Linked DNA regions of Stegostoma tigrinum. The protein of the gene in region 2 purifies or fractionates together with the protein of the main gene of each other region. This does not show direct contact. Links are inferred from orthologs where the notes say so. Each region holds a gene or a part of one and is shown on either strand. Other genes may lie near its edges.

The links.
Region 1: the proteins of synaptosomal-associated protein 23-like (region 2) and si:ch73-234b20.5 purify together in Homo sapiens (affinity purification with western blotting; 3 studies listed by BioGRID and IntAct, with this or other methods). This does not show direct contact. The link is inferred for Stegostoma tigrinum from reciprocal best matches to the Homo sapiens genes SNAP23 and VAMP8.

Annotation. Positions count from the first base shown.
Region 1 is NC_081354.1:77,936,706-77,944,122, reverse strand, and holds the start of si:ch73-234b20.5 (vesicle-associated membrane protein 8), read left to right. Parts: upstream 1-4,346; 5' UTR 4,347-4,501; coding exon 4,502-4,504; intron 4,505-7,417. UniProt on the Homo sapiens protein: SNAREs, soluble N-ethylmaleimide-sensitive factor-attachment protein receptors, are essential proteins for fusion of cellular membranes.
Region 2 is NC_081363.1:85,180,036-85,188,066, forward strand, and holds the start of synaptosomal-associated protein 23-like, read left to right. Parts: upstream 1-4,946; 5' UTR 4,947-5,026; intron 5,027-8,031. UniProt on the Homo sapiens protein: Essential component of the high affinity receptor for the general membrane fusion machinery and an important regulator of transport vesicle docking and fusion.

The DNA of each region.
Region 1 (7,417 bases), on a different chromosome or scaffold from region 2:
AATGTATGTATTCAATATCCAATGGTATGTTCAGCAAATAACTGCAGAGGAATTCTAAGAGATTATCTCCAGTCAACACTGAGTTCTGAGATTGTTGACCAGGTTGCGAACATGAAAATGTTTGAATGTCAAATCAAGTTCAGTTTATTATCTATGGAAAATTCATTTTGAGCTATTTTAAATGTATAAATTAATTATAACCATGAAGAATAAATCACGGGCATCTAACTTGATTATTTTAATATATGAAATGGTTTTAATCAATGAGGCAGTAAAACCATAACATTGACAAGGAATAAGTAATGAGAAAACACAGCAAAGAGATTAATTACTCCCATCATACATATATATCATGTATTCATCAACTCATTATAAGTGTTTGTGTATAAAGGTGTAAACAAGTTCAAGAAACAATTTGTCCTACATCTGAGGGATTATGCCCATTTCCCTGAGTGCATCGGATGATAATACTGAGTCAAGGGGTGATTTTCGCTGTTCATGGCATCTTCACTTTTCTCAAGAACAGATTACATCAAGAGAGATTTGCACATCAAATGGCTTCCCTTTCTGGTTCAACAATTCAAACAGTCTCCTTTTCTAAGATAACAATACAAAGAGAGACATCAAACAAGCATCTTATTCTCTACTAAAGTCATATATAAAGGTTTCATGATTGTGGGATCAATTCAAAAGGACTTAAGTTTTCTGACATTATAATCATGTATATGCCTTGATTGCCAACACTCTATCCTGCTCGCTTCAACCATTCAACTTATTTTAAACTGGTGACTATTCCAATATTCACATCATGAATCGTCACAAGAACAATATCATTAAGTGCTTTTTTTCCATAAAATCCATAATTAGTTCTTTCATTTTGTTTTCCTTCCTAGTTGCATGGTACTAAAAGCTGAAGAGAAATGAACAAAGGTGGCATAAACACAGAGGGGTCATTTGTCTTTCTTGGTGTGAAGGTTGTCATGTTATGCATACACTTAATGCATCAATAAAATCATAACATGTAGGGGGAAAAGTAGGACATTCAGACCATTGAGCCTGCTCTGCCATTCAATGAGATCGCAGCTGATCTGATAATCCTCAACTACACCTTCTTGCCTTTTCTCCAAATCTTTGATTTCCTTATTGAATAAAAATCTGCTGATCTTAGCCTTGAATTTACTTAACCACCTAGCCACAACAGCCTCTACAGTAAAGAATGCTGCTAAAGCTCTGAGAGAAGAAATTCCACCTCACACTATGCATCCATTTTAAGGTGTCTTGATGCAAGTCTTTCTGCCTTAGCCTCAGCCCAATGAGACTGCATCTGACTAGCACTGTCTGAGTTGGTCCTCCACAGCAGTGACTTGCCTGGCACTCATCTGGACTGCAAACAGGGAGTTTGCAATGAAGAGCGAGCCTCAAGTAAAGCTGTGCTGCCAGTGCCTTGGTCTCGATGTTGCATACACTGAAGCATGATTACTATGCAGTTATCTTCCTGCACCCCTTGTAACTGGGTGTGGTAAGACGTCTTATCAGGTTCCAATCAGGCAGTAAGCAGCAGGGAAACTAAATGGTATGTTGGCCTTTACACAAGAGGGTTTGAGTCCAGGAGCAAGAAAGTTTTACTGTAGCATTGCTGAGAGCACACTGCTGTATTATTATTCCCTCAGAGGGTGGTGAACTTTGGAATTCTCCACTGCAGAAGGGAGGCCAAGTCACTGAATATGGTTAAGACAGAAATAGATTTCTAGAAATTATAGGCATTAAGGATATGAGGAGAGAATTTAACATTGAGATAGAGGATCAGTCATGATCACACTGAATGCAGACCAAGCTCAATGGGCCAAATGGCCTACTCCTACTCTTATTTTCTGTATGTTTCTAATTTCCGAGAAACCACCTCTCTGCACCAGCATGGACCGACCCTTACCCACCACGACATTCCATCAGAGCATACGCACTTGGCTGTTGTCCAACAAAAAAAGCAACAAACAAAAACCTTTTCATGACATCCTTACACAACAATATGTTCAAATCTGCAAACAGCTCTTTCAAATCTGTCAACCTTCCCTGAAGGGGTCAGAAGTTTTGCTTTTGGTCAATTAATACCCCACAAAACATTAAGTGGCATCAGGGCAGTTGGTATGGGCAGTGAGTGACACTTTGGATGGCAGGATGGGACAACCTGCAATATGCCCTTTGTCTGTTTGGCAGCCAGCCAGTGCAGCTTCCCTTTAAGGGGCAGCCTGTATTTAACAACCAAAGGCTAATTGGAAAATGTGCTAGTCTGTCATCTGAACAGACTCCCCCACTGTGCATGTACCCATTGCTTCTGGATTCTAGGGTCAATCAATGGTTCTAACTGCTGGGTCTGATACAGAAATTATTTCTCCTGAAGGGGTCTCCAACATTGCAATGGTTCATCTGCACTTCAATACTTGAGGATACAGTAAACAAACACAGGAATGGAGAGAAGCCATTTGCCTTACAGATGTGGTCCACGAGGAAGGGGGTGCTTTCCCAGGTGGCTGTAGATGTCAGCAGCTGTGGCCTGCTGCAAGACACTAAGGCTTGAGGCATTGCAGCACAGACATGGTCAGAGAGCTGATCCTCTCCCCGTAGACATTATTTTGTGGGTCTTGCCTTCTTCCAGCTGGATTTTTGTGTTCACCCTTTCATAAGATGTGCTTTGGTTGAGGAGAAGACAACTGGGATTACTGCTGGTGCTGATGGTGTCAGTGCTGCCATTCATCAGAGGTTCGAGCTGGGGTGCTGCATATCTTGCTCACATGTCGTGTTGGAGGTTGGCAGTTGGCAAGTGCGTTTGAAGGAGATGCAAATGGTAGGTCAGCAAAGAGACTTCCAGAAAGTTGACAAAGAGAAGACATGCTTTGAACAGCACGACTGGAGCTCTTCAATTTCACTGATCAAAGCCTTGCCAGCCTGTCAATTTCACTGAAGAAGCTGTGCCAGTTGTTCACTTGCTCAGCGATCCTGAAAACAGGTATTCCGGCTGGAAAACCCAGAACTGAAGATTCCAGATATACACCATGAGCAATTTGAATGTTTTAATTATAGCTGCACAGATATTCCTTGCTCATCTTCAGTCATAGCCTTGTGAAAGTTGCAGAAGGATGGGATGATGTCAGGAGCCCTATCCAATTCAGTGTCACTTTTAGGGGATTCAGTTCCCAGACTTGTCCAAAACCAATGGCCCTTTGCCTGGGAAAAATCATCTATATTACCATCACCACCACAACCCCAGCCCGTTTGTACTTAGCAATTGAAAAATTGCCTGTAGTGTGCCTGTAGAAATTTCCATTTGCGTTGGTGGCAGTCAAGGCTTTTGATAGAAGCTAAGACTTTGTGGAATAAAGCTCCATTGTTTCTACATTTGCAATGAGCTTGTCTGAAGCAATGTTGGTGGTCAAGATGGAGAGGTCAGAACTGAGAAATGTCAGGAGTACTTAATGCCACGGGAAAGGCATGGTTCCATTGCTATAAGAATGTGGGTATTTATGGAGTCACGGAGTTATACAGCCTGAAAACAGATCCTTCAGTCCAACCAGTCCATGCCAAATATAATCCCCACCTGCCTGCTCCTGGCCCATATCCCTCCAAACATTTCCTATTCATATATCCATCCAAATGTCGTTTAAACATTGTAATTGTACCCACATCCACTACTTCATCAGGAAGTTCATTCCTCACGCAAACCACCCGCTGTGTGAAAAATTTGCTTCTTATGTCTTTTTTATATCTCTCTCCTCTCACCTTTAAAATGTGCCCCCTTACTTTGAAATTCTCAATCTTAGGGAAAAGACAAGTACCATCAACTCAATCGTCACCTCTCATTGTTTTATGAACTTCTGTCAGGTCACCTCTCAACTTCATATGCTCCAATGAAAAGTGTCGAAGCCTGTCCAACCTTTCCTTGTAATTCAAACCTTCCATCACTGGCAACATCCTGGCAAATCTCTCCTGAACACTTCAGCTTGATAATATCCTTCCCATAACTGAGTGTCCAGAACTGGACGCTGTATTCCAGAAGAGGCCTCACCAATATCCTGTATAACCTCCACATAATGTTACTGGCAATTTTGAACAGGTTTTGCAGATGGTAAGTGAAAATCATAACAGTATTTTTAAAAAGTTTTGAATTAGCTGTACCACTGCCAGGAATACCAGGAAAAGCCATATTTCTGAGGGAGGGAATCAGGAAGTACACCTGTTCAGAAACCTATCAGGTGTTGTAAACACCTGCAGAACAGGAAGCACCTCACCTGTTGCTATGGTTTCACTCTGTAACAGGCAACACCTGTACCTATGTTCTGCTAGCTTCAGTGAAAGGAGGAGGGGAAATAATCTTGCATCGGCTCTGCTTACAGGCTTGCGTTCGATGATAATTTTGTAATCCAGTTGTTAAATATTAACCAGCTGGTTCAACATTTTGTCTTCCACTTCACTTATCGGCAAAGGCAGGAGAAGTTCACAAACAACAATGGTAAGCTTTGGGCTTTTAAGTCCAAATTTCTAATTTATGTTCATATCTATATTTTTTAATACAAGTATACTGATGACTTATAAATAAGGTATATAAATATACTGCGTATAGAAGCTTTTACGAAAAGTGCAAAGCAAGAGGTGGAGAACCTAGGAAGCATAATTGTACTGTAATCCGAAAAGACTGGAGATTTTGGGCCTACTTTAGTTTTCCTCCAGGTTCAGCAAAACATATTTTTCCACAGGTATTTACACGTATGAAGAGAATTGTCGTAAAATTTGTAAAAGGACCTTGCTCAAAATATTCGATGATTTGTTATAAAAATCCATTCAGCAAAGGCCTAGCTGAGAAAATGTGGTGTTTTGCATATGGGCTACTACTTTGGGTACCCCTCCCTCACCAAAGCATTAATGGCTCTTTATTGTTTTGCTGTTATACCAACTGAATCACAATTTGCATTACTCCCAGTATAATGCAATAAATATCAAACACAACAAATTACTGTTGCATTGGCTTTTGGATTCAAAATTGTAATCTTTGTCCAGATTTGCCCCTCTTTGCTTTCCCCTTTTCCTGAAGTTGCTGCTTTACACTGGGTGTGACCCCACTATCAAAAATAGCCCTTCATGGTTGTCCAAATGACCCCATTCCAGGTGTCAGGTTGTTTCATCACTACAGGATCACATTTAATCCTGAATCTGTTTTCACCCAAATTTCCCACATATTTTCCCGCAGGAATTATTAGTGATCAGGATCAGGCTCTGTGGATAATATGTTTTTCGTTACCACCCTGGGGACATTGGTACCACTCAGATTGCCTCCCTACTCCAAAACAATGCCAGCTGAGACAGGTTGGATCAGCCCAGGAAGCTGAGGAATTTAGGACCATTCCATGTGTATGATCCAGCACCTCAGAACAAGGTGAAGTTATCGTATAGGGAGAGGGAAGTAAGAGGGGTGAATGTTTGTTTCTTTATGATGAGCCCAACTTCCTGTAGGCCATGTGGGTCTCTCAGAAATATCTGTTGAAAGTCATAGCTGTTAAATTTGATAAGGGTGAAATTCTCAATTATAAACATAAATTATAGCAGAAACATAAACACAAATATACATAGGCCCCAGGGACATTAAAGTGACATTAATATGTTCTCTGTTCTGACCTTTCTTTCACTATCTTTCACTTTTTTCTCATGTACTTTATTCTATGTTTCTCATTGTCTCTTTGTAGGTACAGAATTTATAACAAAAATAAAACTCTTCATGTAAGGAGTGCTGCTCTGAATATTTCTAATAGAGGACTTTGAGTACAACTATAACTAGTAGAACATCCTGGTCTCCACAGAGTCTTAAAACTAAGGTACCAATAGTGCAGACGCTGGATATTTGGTCTGGACTGAGCAGCATGGTGTTCAACACAAAGTCTTTATTGAAGTGAAACTTAAGATGTCTGCCTCTAGGCTGATTGCCTCATCTTAGAAGTCACATGACAATAGCACACTAGGACAGACATTTATATATGGTTGCATTTCAATCCAATTACCCTCTTATTGTTCTACAAAAAAGGTATGTATTGTCACGCAGGTAGTTTTAGATAACCAAATCACCAACTATATACAGTAATATTCTCATGCCTTAGCACTTCATTATTTTCACCAGTCTCTGTGTATGCATTGGATACATAGTCCTGAAATCATGCTAGTCTCTCCATGGTATGTGCACATGCTGTCATAATTGGCAGTTCATTCTCCGTGATGTCCCTTCGGCAGGAAGTGTTATTTGGATTGCTGCAGTAGTTGTTGTGCTGTTTCTGTTTTTGTGTTGCTGTGGACCTCAGTATCTGATGGTTGATGTGTAGGTGGTGCTTCATCTCTTCCCAATCAGCTGCCTGCAGTATTGGAACAGCTTCTCAGCCAAGTGTACGTGCCTGTGGTTGCAACAGTATATCTGGCAGCTCACTTCCACCACCTGTGAAGTGGGTTATATCTGCTCCATGCTGGTTTCAAGTTGCCACTTGGGCTGGCTTTTGTTGAATATTTGTACCCTGACTGGATCTTGCAATGTTTTAACAGTCTTGGCAAAATAAAATTTGGTTTTCTGCCAGTTGATCGTGCTTTTTCACTCACACCTGTTACTATTTCTGGCTTCCATTTTTTTTTTTTGCTTTTGGAACAGTAATTTGGGTGTGGATTGACTTTAGTCTTTGCACTGGACTACTTTCCAAGCCCTCAGTATGTGTGCTTCTCCACTCGAGGATTGCTGTGTGCACATCTGGGCAGGATTTACTTGATTTCTTTATGATTCCTTTAGAATTTTCATTGCCACCTCAAGCCTTTCCTTTTGACTCTGGATAACGTGGGGATGATGTGTCAGATTGAATTTCCCGAATTTTTTATGAAGCTACTGAATTCTTCACTGGCAATAACATTGGGAGTAGAATAGTGTGTAAATTGAATATTCAACACACACCATTATTGAACATAGCAGGTCCACTACCAATGAGTCAGAATCTTACTCTGCTGTGACAAGGTAATCAGTTCCTGAGTGTGATAAGATCTAATTCCACCTTCATCTATGGTTTATCTGGGATGTCATCAACAATGCTCTAGTTTGCTTAGCTCAATATTATTTACAAGCTCTGTCCTGCCCAATGTGGTCCCTTCTTCTGTTACTCATGTTTGGCCAATACAGCATGTCTCTCACCTTCCTCAGACTTGACTCAATTCTTCAGTGACCTGAATGGATGCACTTTAACATCTCTCCTCTCAAATCCTTCAAGATAATGACTATTTCCTTTATGCAATAGGCCACCTTGGGCTGTCAATTCACCTCTGTATACCCAAAATGCTGTGGTACTGTCCGATGCTCACCGGCTATCCTTTATCACTACTTCTTGGAACAGTGGGAGATTTGCAT
Region 2 (8,031 bases):
GCTGATAAGTCTGCTGGACCTATGGTGTTAAAAGGAATGAATGTAGAGACAGCAGATGCATAAGGTGTGAGCGCCTAAAATTTCCTAGATTCTGGAAAGTCCCATTATATTGGAAATCACAAATGTCACACCACTTTTCAAGAGAGGAGGGAGATGGGATGCAGGAAAATATAGGTCAGGTAGTGCAACATCTATTACTGGGGAAATGCTAGAATCCACTGAGGCAGTACTAGATGGAAATTGAAAAATAAAATCAGGCAAAAACAAAATGTTTTTGTGAAAGGAAAATAATGTTTATAGAATTATAGAATTCCTACTGTATGGCAACAGGCCATTTGGCCCATCGAATCTGCGCCAAATAACATCTCACCCACTCCCATTCCCCCACCCTATCCCCATAATCTCTCATTTCCAATAGCCAATCCGCCTAGCCTGCACATTATGAGGTAATTTAGCACGGCGAATCCACATAACTTGCATATCTTTGAACTGTGAGAGGAAACTAGAGATCCTGGCAGAAATCCACACAGATTCAGAGAGAATGTGCAAACTCCATACGCATAGTCATCCAAAGCTAGAATCGAACTTCAGTCCCTGGTGTTGAGGCAGCAGTACTAACCATTGACGCACCATACCACCCAATGTTTGACAAATTTGTTAAATTTCTTATAAGATGTAAGCAGGTGGATAAAGATGAACTTGTAAATGTAGTGTTTTTGGGGTTTAAAGAGGTATCTTTAGCTGCCACAAAAAAAGGTAACTGCATCGGTTGAGAGGACACAGTTTTGGGGGTGATATGCTGTGGACTGGCTAATAAGGAATGGGCAGTCTGGAAAAATGGTCAAACTATAACCGGTGAAGTGTGTGGGCAATCAGTGCATAATACCACCATGATGAAATGACAAATAACACGTAGCCAAATTTGTGGCCAATGTTACCAAGATACAAAGGAAAGCACATGTGGGGGAGGATAGAGTCTTCAAAGGAACAGATTCAATGAGCCAGCAAAAAAAATTGCCAGTCACATGATGGGGGAAAATGTAAGGTTGTGTACCTTAGCAGGAAAAACAGAAGAATATTACTTCAATGGGCAGAGACAGAGAGGCTATTCAATGGCGGAGTAGTTCAACAGACTGAATGGCCTACTCCTGTCATATTTCTTCTAGTCTTACTGCTGAATGCTACAGAACAGAGGGACTTGGTGTCCCAGTTCATGAATCACAAAGTTAGCACCAGAGCACAGCCAATAATTTGAAAGGCACATAGAATGTTGGCCACCCTGCAACAGCAACTGATGAATGCAAATGATCTCATACCCACCACCAATAGTGTACAAAATACCATGCAAGGTCTGTGAAAAACATTACATAGGCCAAACTGGAAGAAGACTGACTATAAAGGACACACGAACACCAACTAGCCACCGAGAGACACGACCAATTTTCACTGGTGTCAGTACACACAGACAAATAAGGACACTAATTCGACAGGGACAACACATCCAATAATAGCGCGAGCCAGAGAATTCCTGGAGGCCTAGCATTCCAACCAGAACTCCATCAACACACACATTGAACTGGACCCGATATACAAACCATTGAAAAACAGAACCAGAAATAATGCCAACCACCCAATAAACCAAAGCATATCAATATCAAGCGGGACAGAATGCCAATGCTCCACCAGAGACACACTGATGATGTTACCTAGCAGGGTGACAAAGTGCCTGCAACCAAACACACCGTCTTGGTGAGCAAATCTACAACTTCAATGCAGTAACCAATAGAGCCAATCTAACCTCCACACTCCTAATACACGCAGCTGAGGGGTACTGGAATATTCACTAACAACTTGAGGAGACAGCTCCATAAATATTCCCATCCTCAATGATGGAAGATCCCAGCTCGAGTGCAAAAGATAAGCCTGTAGCATTTGCACCAATCATCAGCTGGAAATACTGAGTAGATGATCCAGCTCAACTTCCACCTGAGATCCCCAGCATCATATATAGCATCAAGGAGCCCAAGCAAAACTGGAATCAACAAGAACTGAGGAACTCTCTGCTGGTTGGATCATACCCTGACGACAAATGAAGATCGTTACGCTCGTTTGAGGTCAGTCATCCCAGCTCCAGTGCAGGAGCTCTTTGGGGTAGTATCCGCAGCCTTACCATTTTCAGCTGCCTCATTAATGCCCTTCACTCCATCATAAAGTCAGAGTTTGGGATGCTCACTGATGATCATGCAAATTTCAGTACCATTGTGTATACTCACACGATGAAGAAAGAATCGAACCATTGCACCTATATATTCAATGGTATTACCATCACTGAAATCCCCAGGGTCACCATTGAGTGAAAATGAACTGGACTAACCATATGAACATTGTGGCTAGTGCTTTTGCTTCCGTACCTGAGCCAGGATGCCCAAGTTCAAGTCTCAACTGCTGCAGAGATATGTAACACACCTCTGAACAAGTTGATCAGAAAATAGCTATAAATACTGTGGCTACAAGAGCAGGTCAGAGGTTAGGAATTCTGCAACAAGTAGCTACTTTCCAATTCCCCAAGCCAGTCCACCATCTACATGTCACAAGATAGAGTGTGATAGAATTCTCTCAACTTGGCTGAATGAGTTTAGCTCCAACAACACTCAACAACAAAGACAAAGCAGTCCACCGAGTTGCACCCCATCCATCAACTTCAACATTCACTCCCTCTCGCATTGGCAGCAGTGTGTATCATCTGAAAGATGCAGTGCAGGAACTCATCAAGACTCCTTCGTCAGCACTTTCCAAATCCACGATCTCTTCCAATGACAGGGCCAAGTGCAGCAAATGCAAGGGAACACCACAATCTGCTAGTTCCCCTCTAAACCATCATAATTTAGTATGAAATTTCTTCCTTCATGGTCACTAGGTTAAAATCCCAGAACTCCCTCCCTAACAACACTGTGGATGTATTTACACCACCAAGGACTGCAGAGGTTCAAGGCATTTACCATTGCTTTTTCAAGGGCAATAAATGCTAGACTAGCCAAAGCCCAAATCCGTTGACTGAATATAAAAATTCAAGCCACGCTCTTTCTGAATGTTGGCGGAGCCTTGATACTTTGAACTGCCAACCACTGCTCCTATTTCTGGGATCTTATGATTGATTGGCTGATCTATTCAAGAATGTCTCCAAGGACCCTCTTCACCTCTCTACCAATACCAGAGTGCATATTTGCATCCATAAGGTCACAAATCGACTTGGATTTAGCTAGCTTGAAAGTTAGGGCTAGTCAGATGTTTTTCATTGAACAATATGTGGTTAAAAAAAATCAGATCTTTTCTTGAAACCATAATTGAGGACCATTTATATATTTCACTTCAAAGAAACAGGTTTGTGGGTTTACAGAGTCAACCTGCAATGCAAAAGCACCCCAGGTTTTCTTTTCCACACTGCCAACCGACTTAATGCATTTCTCCAACATCCTCACTCTTAACAAGAGAAAGAGGCCCATGCATACCTTTGTCGTTTTGATCATGACCATCCAACATAGAAAGCATTCTAAACAGATGGTATGGCAACTGCTCTGCCCACAGCCATTAAGGAACTGCACAGATTTATGAATACAGCCCAATCCATCATGCAAGCCAAACTTCCATGCATTGACTCCATCTGCACTTCTTGCTGCCTTTGAAAGGCAGCCAACATAATCAAAGACACCCTCCCACCCAGCTTATAATCTCTTCCAACCTCTTGCGTCAAGCAGAAGATACAAAAGCTGAAACACATGTACTAACAGATTCAAGAACTGCGTTTTTTGCCACTTATTAGACTTCTGAATGGATCTCTAAAATTTTATATTTAAATGTTGATCTAGCATTTTGTGTACCTTATTTGCAGCCTTAACTTTGTATTCTTCACTTTGTTCTATTACCCTAATGCGCTTTGTATATGATCTGTCTGAAATGCAGCCAAAACAAAACTTGTCACTGTATCAAGATTTTTGTGACAAAAATAAATCAAACACAAAAAAAATCAACCAAGTGTTTCAGATTAAACATCGTTGGACACTCTTTGCTGTATTCACTTTCAACATAGATCTTTTTCCAGCTTCTCTCCAACCTCTCTTCATACCTACCCAGAGAACTCACCTGGGTCAACTGGTCCAAGTGCAACCAATGCTTACCACCTTCGCTTTCAGGTGGGGGGCGGGCGAGAAGAGAGAAGATGGGGGGCGGGCGAGAAGAGAGAAGATGGGGGGCGGGCGAGAAGAGAGAAGATGGGGGGCGGGCGAGAAGAGAGAAGATGGGGGGCGGGCGAGAAGAGAGAAGATGGGGGGCGGGCGAGAAGAGAGAAGATGGGGGGCGGGCGAGAAGAGAGAAGATGGGGGGCGGGCGAGAAGAGAGAAGATGGGGGGCGGGCGAGAAGAGAGAAGATGGGGGGCGGGCGAGAAGAGAGAAGATGGGGGGCGGGCGAGAAGAGAGAAGATGGGGGGCGGGCGAGAAGAGAGAAGATGGGGGGCGGGCGAGAAGAGAGAAGATGGGGGGCGAGAAGAGAGAAGATGGGGGGAATGGGAAAGACAGAGAGGTTGTGGGCGGGGAAGGTGGAAAGGACGTGTGACGTTAAGGGGTAACAACCGGTGTGAGGGAAGAGGGTGTTGAGATTGCCGTGAGAGGGGTTGGGGGTGGGGGGGTGAGGAACGAGTTTGTGCTGGTTGGAGGGTCGTCCCGAAGGTGGGGAGCGGGGGCTAGAATTACTCACGGTAAATGGACCTCTCAGGCCCGAGACTGGGCCGCACTGCTCAGGGGAGCACCGCCATCTTGCCGTGGCCACGCTGGGGATCCTGGGAGCTGGAGCTGGGGAGTGAGACCAGCGTCAGGGCACACGCCCCGACAACGCGGTCCAGCTACGCGCAGCCCGGAACGGGGCGTTCAATGTCGTCGTGCGGCGCGGGTGGTGATGACGTCACGAGGCATAGGGCATGCGCATTGAGAGGGTGGGAATCGACCGAGACCGGAGAGAGGCTGCGCTGGAGAGGTGAGTGAGTGAGTGAGTGAGTGACTGAGGGAGGGTGTTGAATATGTTAGGGTACAATGGGTAGGGGAGGCGGTAGTGGTGAGTGTCCTGGGAGGGTAAGTTCCAGTGGATGGGGGATAAGGAGAGAGGGTAGTACCAGGGAGTTGGGTGGGTGACTGAGGCGTGGGGGGAGGTGGCTTAGTCCCGGGCCCCAGTTAACAACGATCCGGACCAGTGTGCGTTTATAAAGGAAAGCCTGCAGGGAATTGTGAAGGCAGACTGTGTTTGACTAACTTGCTTGAAATGTTGAAGGCGGGGACGATGCTGTAGATATGTCAGTGTGGACTGGATGCCTAAAAGGCATTCAGTCAAGCGCCGCGGGATAAATGCTGGAATACTCGGGGGTAAGGTTAGTCGGCCGATCGGAAAACGGTAACGATGAACGTGATTGAGCATCACTGTTTCATTGGCATAAGAGCGTGCACTCGCACAATTTCAAAATTTGCAAAACAGCCTTCGGGATGTGGGTAGGCTGGTGAAATGGGAAGACTGGGGTGAGGTGAAAATAATGATTGTTCTTGACAAAAAAGGCTGCATTGACCTAGTGTGCATCAAAACCTCTCTCAACAAAAGCCAACATACTACTTCCCTCCTTTATTGCCTGCTGCATCTATATGCTTACCTTTAGCAACACATCCTTTCTGACAGATGAGTGGCAAGTAACAATTGTGCCATACATTTACCATCTCCAACAAGAAAGAGTTGAACGATTGCCATTCAATGATGTAACTGTCCCTGAAACCCCTATTAATGTCTTTGGGTTACCCATTGCACAGAAACTCAACTGGACTCACCACATAAATGCAGTGGCTACCAGAGCAGATGAGGAGTCCTGCGGTGACTAACTCACTTCCTGACTCCCCAAAGCCTGTCCGCCATCTAAAAGGCAAGGTCAGGAATGTGATGGAATATTCCCTATTTGCCTGGACGAATGCAGCTCCAAGAACATTTAAGCTTGACACTAACTGGGACAAGGTAGCTTGCAGGAAACAGCCACTCCCTCTAATGCCAATGGTCAGTAGCAGCAGTGTGTACTATCCGTAAGCTGCACTGCAGAAATTCACCAGTATTCCTTAGCACCTTCAAAATTCCATCTCGAATGACAAGCATAGCTGATGTACGGGAATACCACCCCTGCAAGCTTCCCTCCAAGCCACTTACCATCCTGACTTGGACATATGTTACCGTTACTTCAGTGTTGCTGAGTCAGAATTGTGGAAGTTCCACCCTTTCACGAGTGTGCATGTACCTCCACAAAATGGACTTTAGGTTTTCAAGTAGGCAGCTCCCTACTACCTCAGCTTGGTACAGACAATAAATGCTGGTCATGCCAGTGATGTCTACATCCTGTAAATTTTGTTTGGTCTGTGACAAGTGCGATGCAAAGCAGTTAGACATGAAGTGATACACTTTGGCAGGGGAAAGAAGGAGAAGCAATATAAGTCAAAGGTTTCAATTGCAACATGATTGCAGGCCATCTTAGAAATGGCTTTCAATCAGAAAATGGAAGGTAGAGACTATCAGAAAAATTACAATCACCAGGGAAGTACTATTGAGCAAATTGGTGAAACTGTGGGCTGACAATTCCTGGACCCTGCAGGGCTTCATCTAAATGTCTTTCAAAATGGCTAATAGTTATCCATTGGTTTTAATTTTTCATAGCTCTGTAATTCAGACAGTTTCTATTGGATTGGAAAATAGTGAATGTAACTTTATTTAAAACAAAAAATGGCAGGAACAAAAGGCCATTTGACCTAACATTTATGGTAGGGACGATTATTGAAGACATTTAGGAAATTCAGACCAAATCAATGTGGTTTTGAGAAAGAGAAATCCTTTCTAATCATTTTATTGGAGTCCTTTGACGATGTAACACCAGCGGTAGAGAAAGGGAAGCTGAATGTAGTGCACTTGGATTTCCAGAAGACATTTGATAAGATTGCGTACTAAAGGTTATTGCAGAAAATAAAAAGCACATAGTGTCAGAGGTAATATACAGATAGGAGATTGCCTGGCTTCAGAAAACAGTGGGGATAAATGCGTCATTTTATGGTTGGCAACATGGAACGAGTGGTACGCCACAGGAGCTGTCCTGGGGCTTCCACTTTTTACAATTTCTATGAATGATTTGGATGAAGGAACAGACAGCGTGGGTGCTAAACTTGCTGATGGCCTACAGGTAGATCAGAAAAGGAGTTGTGAAAAGGACGTATGGGAGTTACAGAGGGATGTCAATAGGTTAAGTGAGTGGGTGAAGATCTGGCAAATTTAGTATCAAGTAGGAAGTTGTCTAATCTTGGCTCAAAGGATAAAAAGGAAGCATATTATCTGAATTGAGTGTTTGCAGAGCTTTGAGTTTGGATCTGAGTGGTCTGTTTCCATGCTCATGACTGTGTTTCTGAGTGTTGTGCATGAACTACAAAAGGTTCTGCAGAGTCATACCAGAATTCAATTCTTATCTCTATGTAGAAGTCAGACCTGTGTTTCTTCAATTCCTGTTTTTGTTTTGCAGAAGCTGGGGTGTTCGCTCACCCTTCTCAAAAGCGATAGTTCATAACGTGACCCAATTCGTAGGCAGAGAAATCCTGTTCACATTAGCAGATGGTTGGAAGGGCAGGAGGCACAAGTTAATAATAAAGGACCGAAGGTGCACTGAGCACAAGGTGTTTTACACAGTGAAGATTTAGCATATATACTGTGTGACAGGGACAGATTCACGTGTGGATGTCTGGAGAAATTAGAAATGCACTGTTTTAGGATGTGCTAAGCTGCTTTTCCTGAGAGCTGTCACAGGTATCATGGTGACTGAAAGGTACCATTCTATGGTGCAAAACCTAAGGTTGCAAGTACCCCCTCTCCCTCTTTGTCACCCCCTTTTCTCCCCCTGTTTGCCACCTGTAATCGCCTCTTCATTCCCACATCTCTCAAATATATCACCCATTGCCTTAATCCCCTGGCGCCTCCAC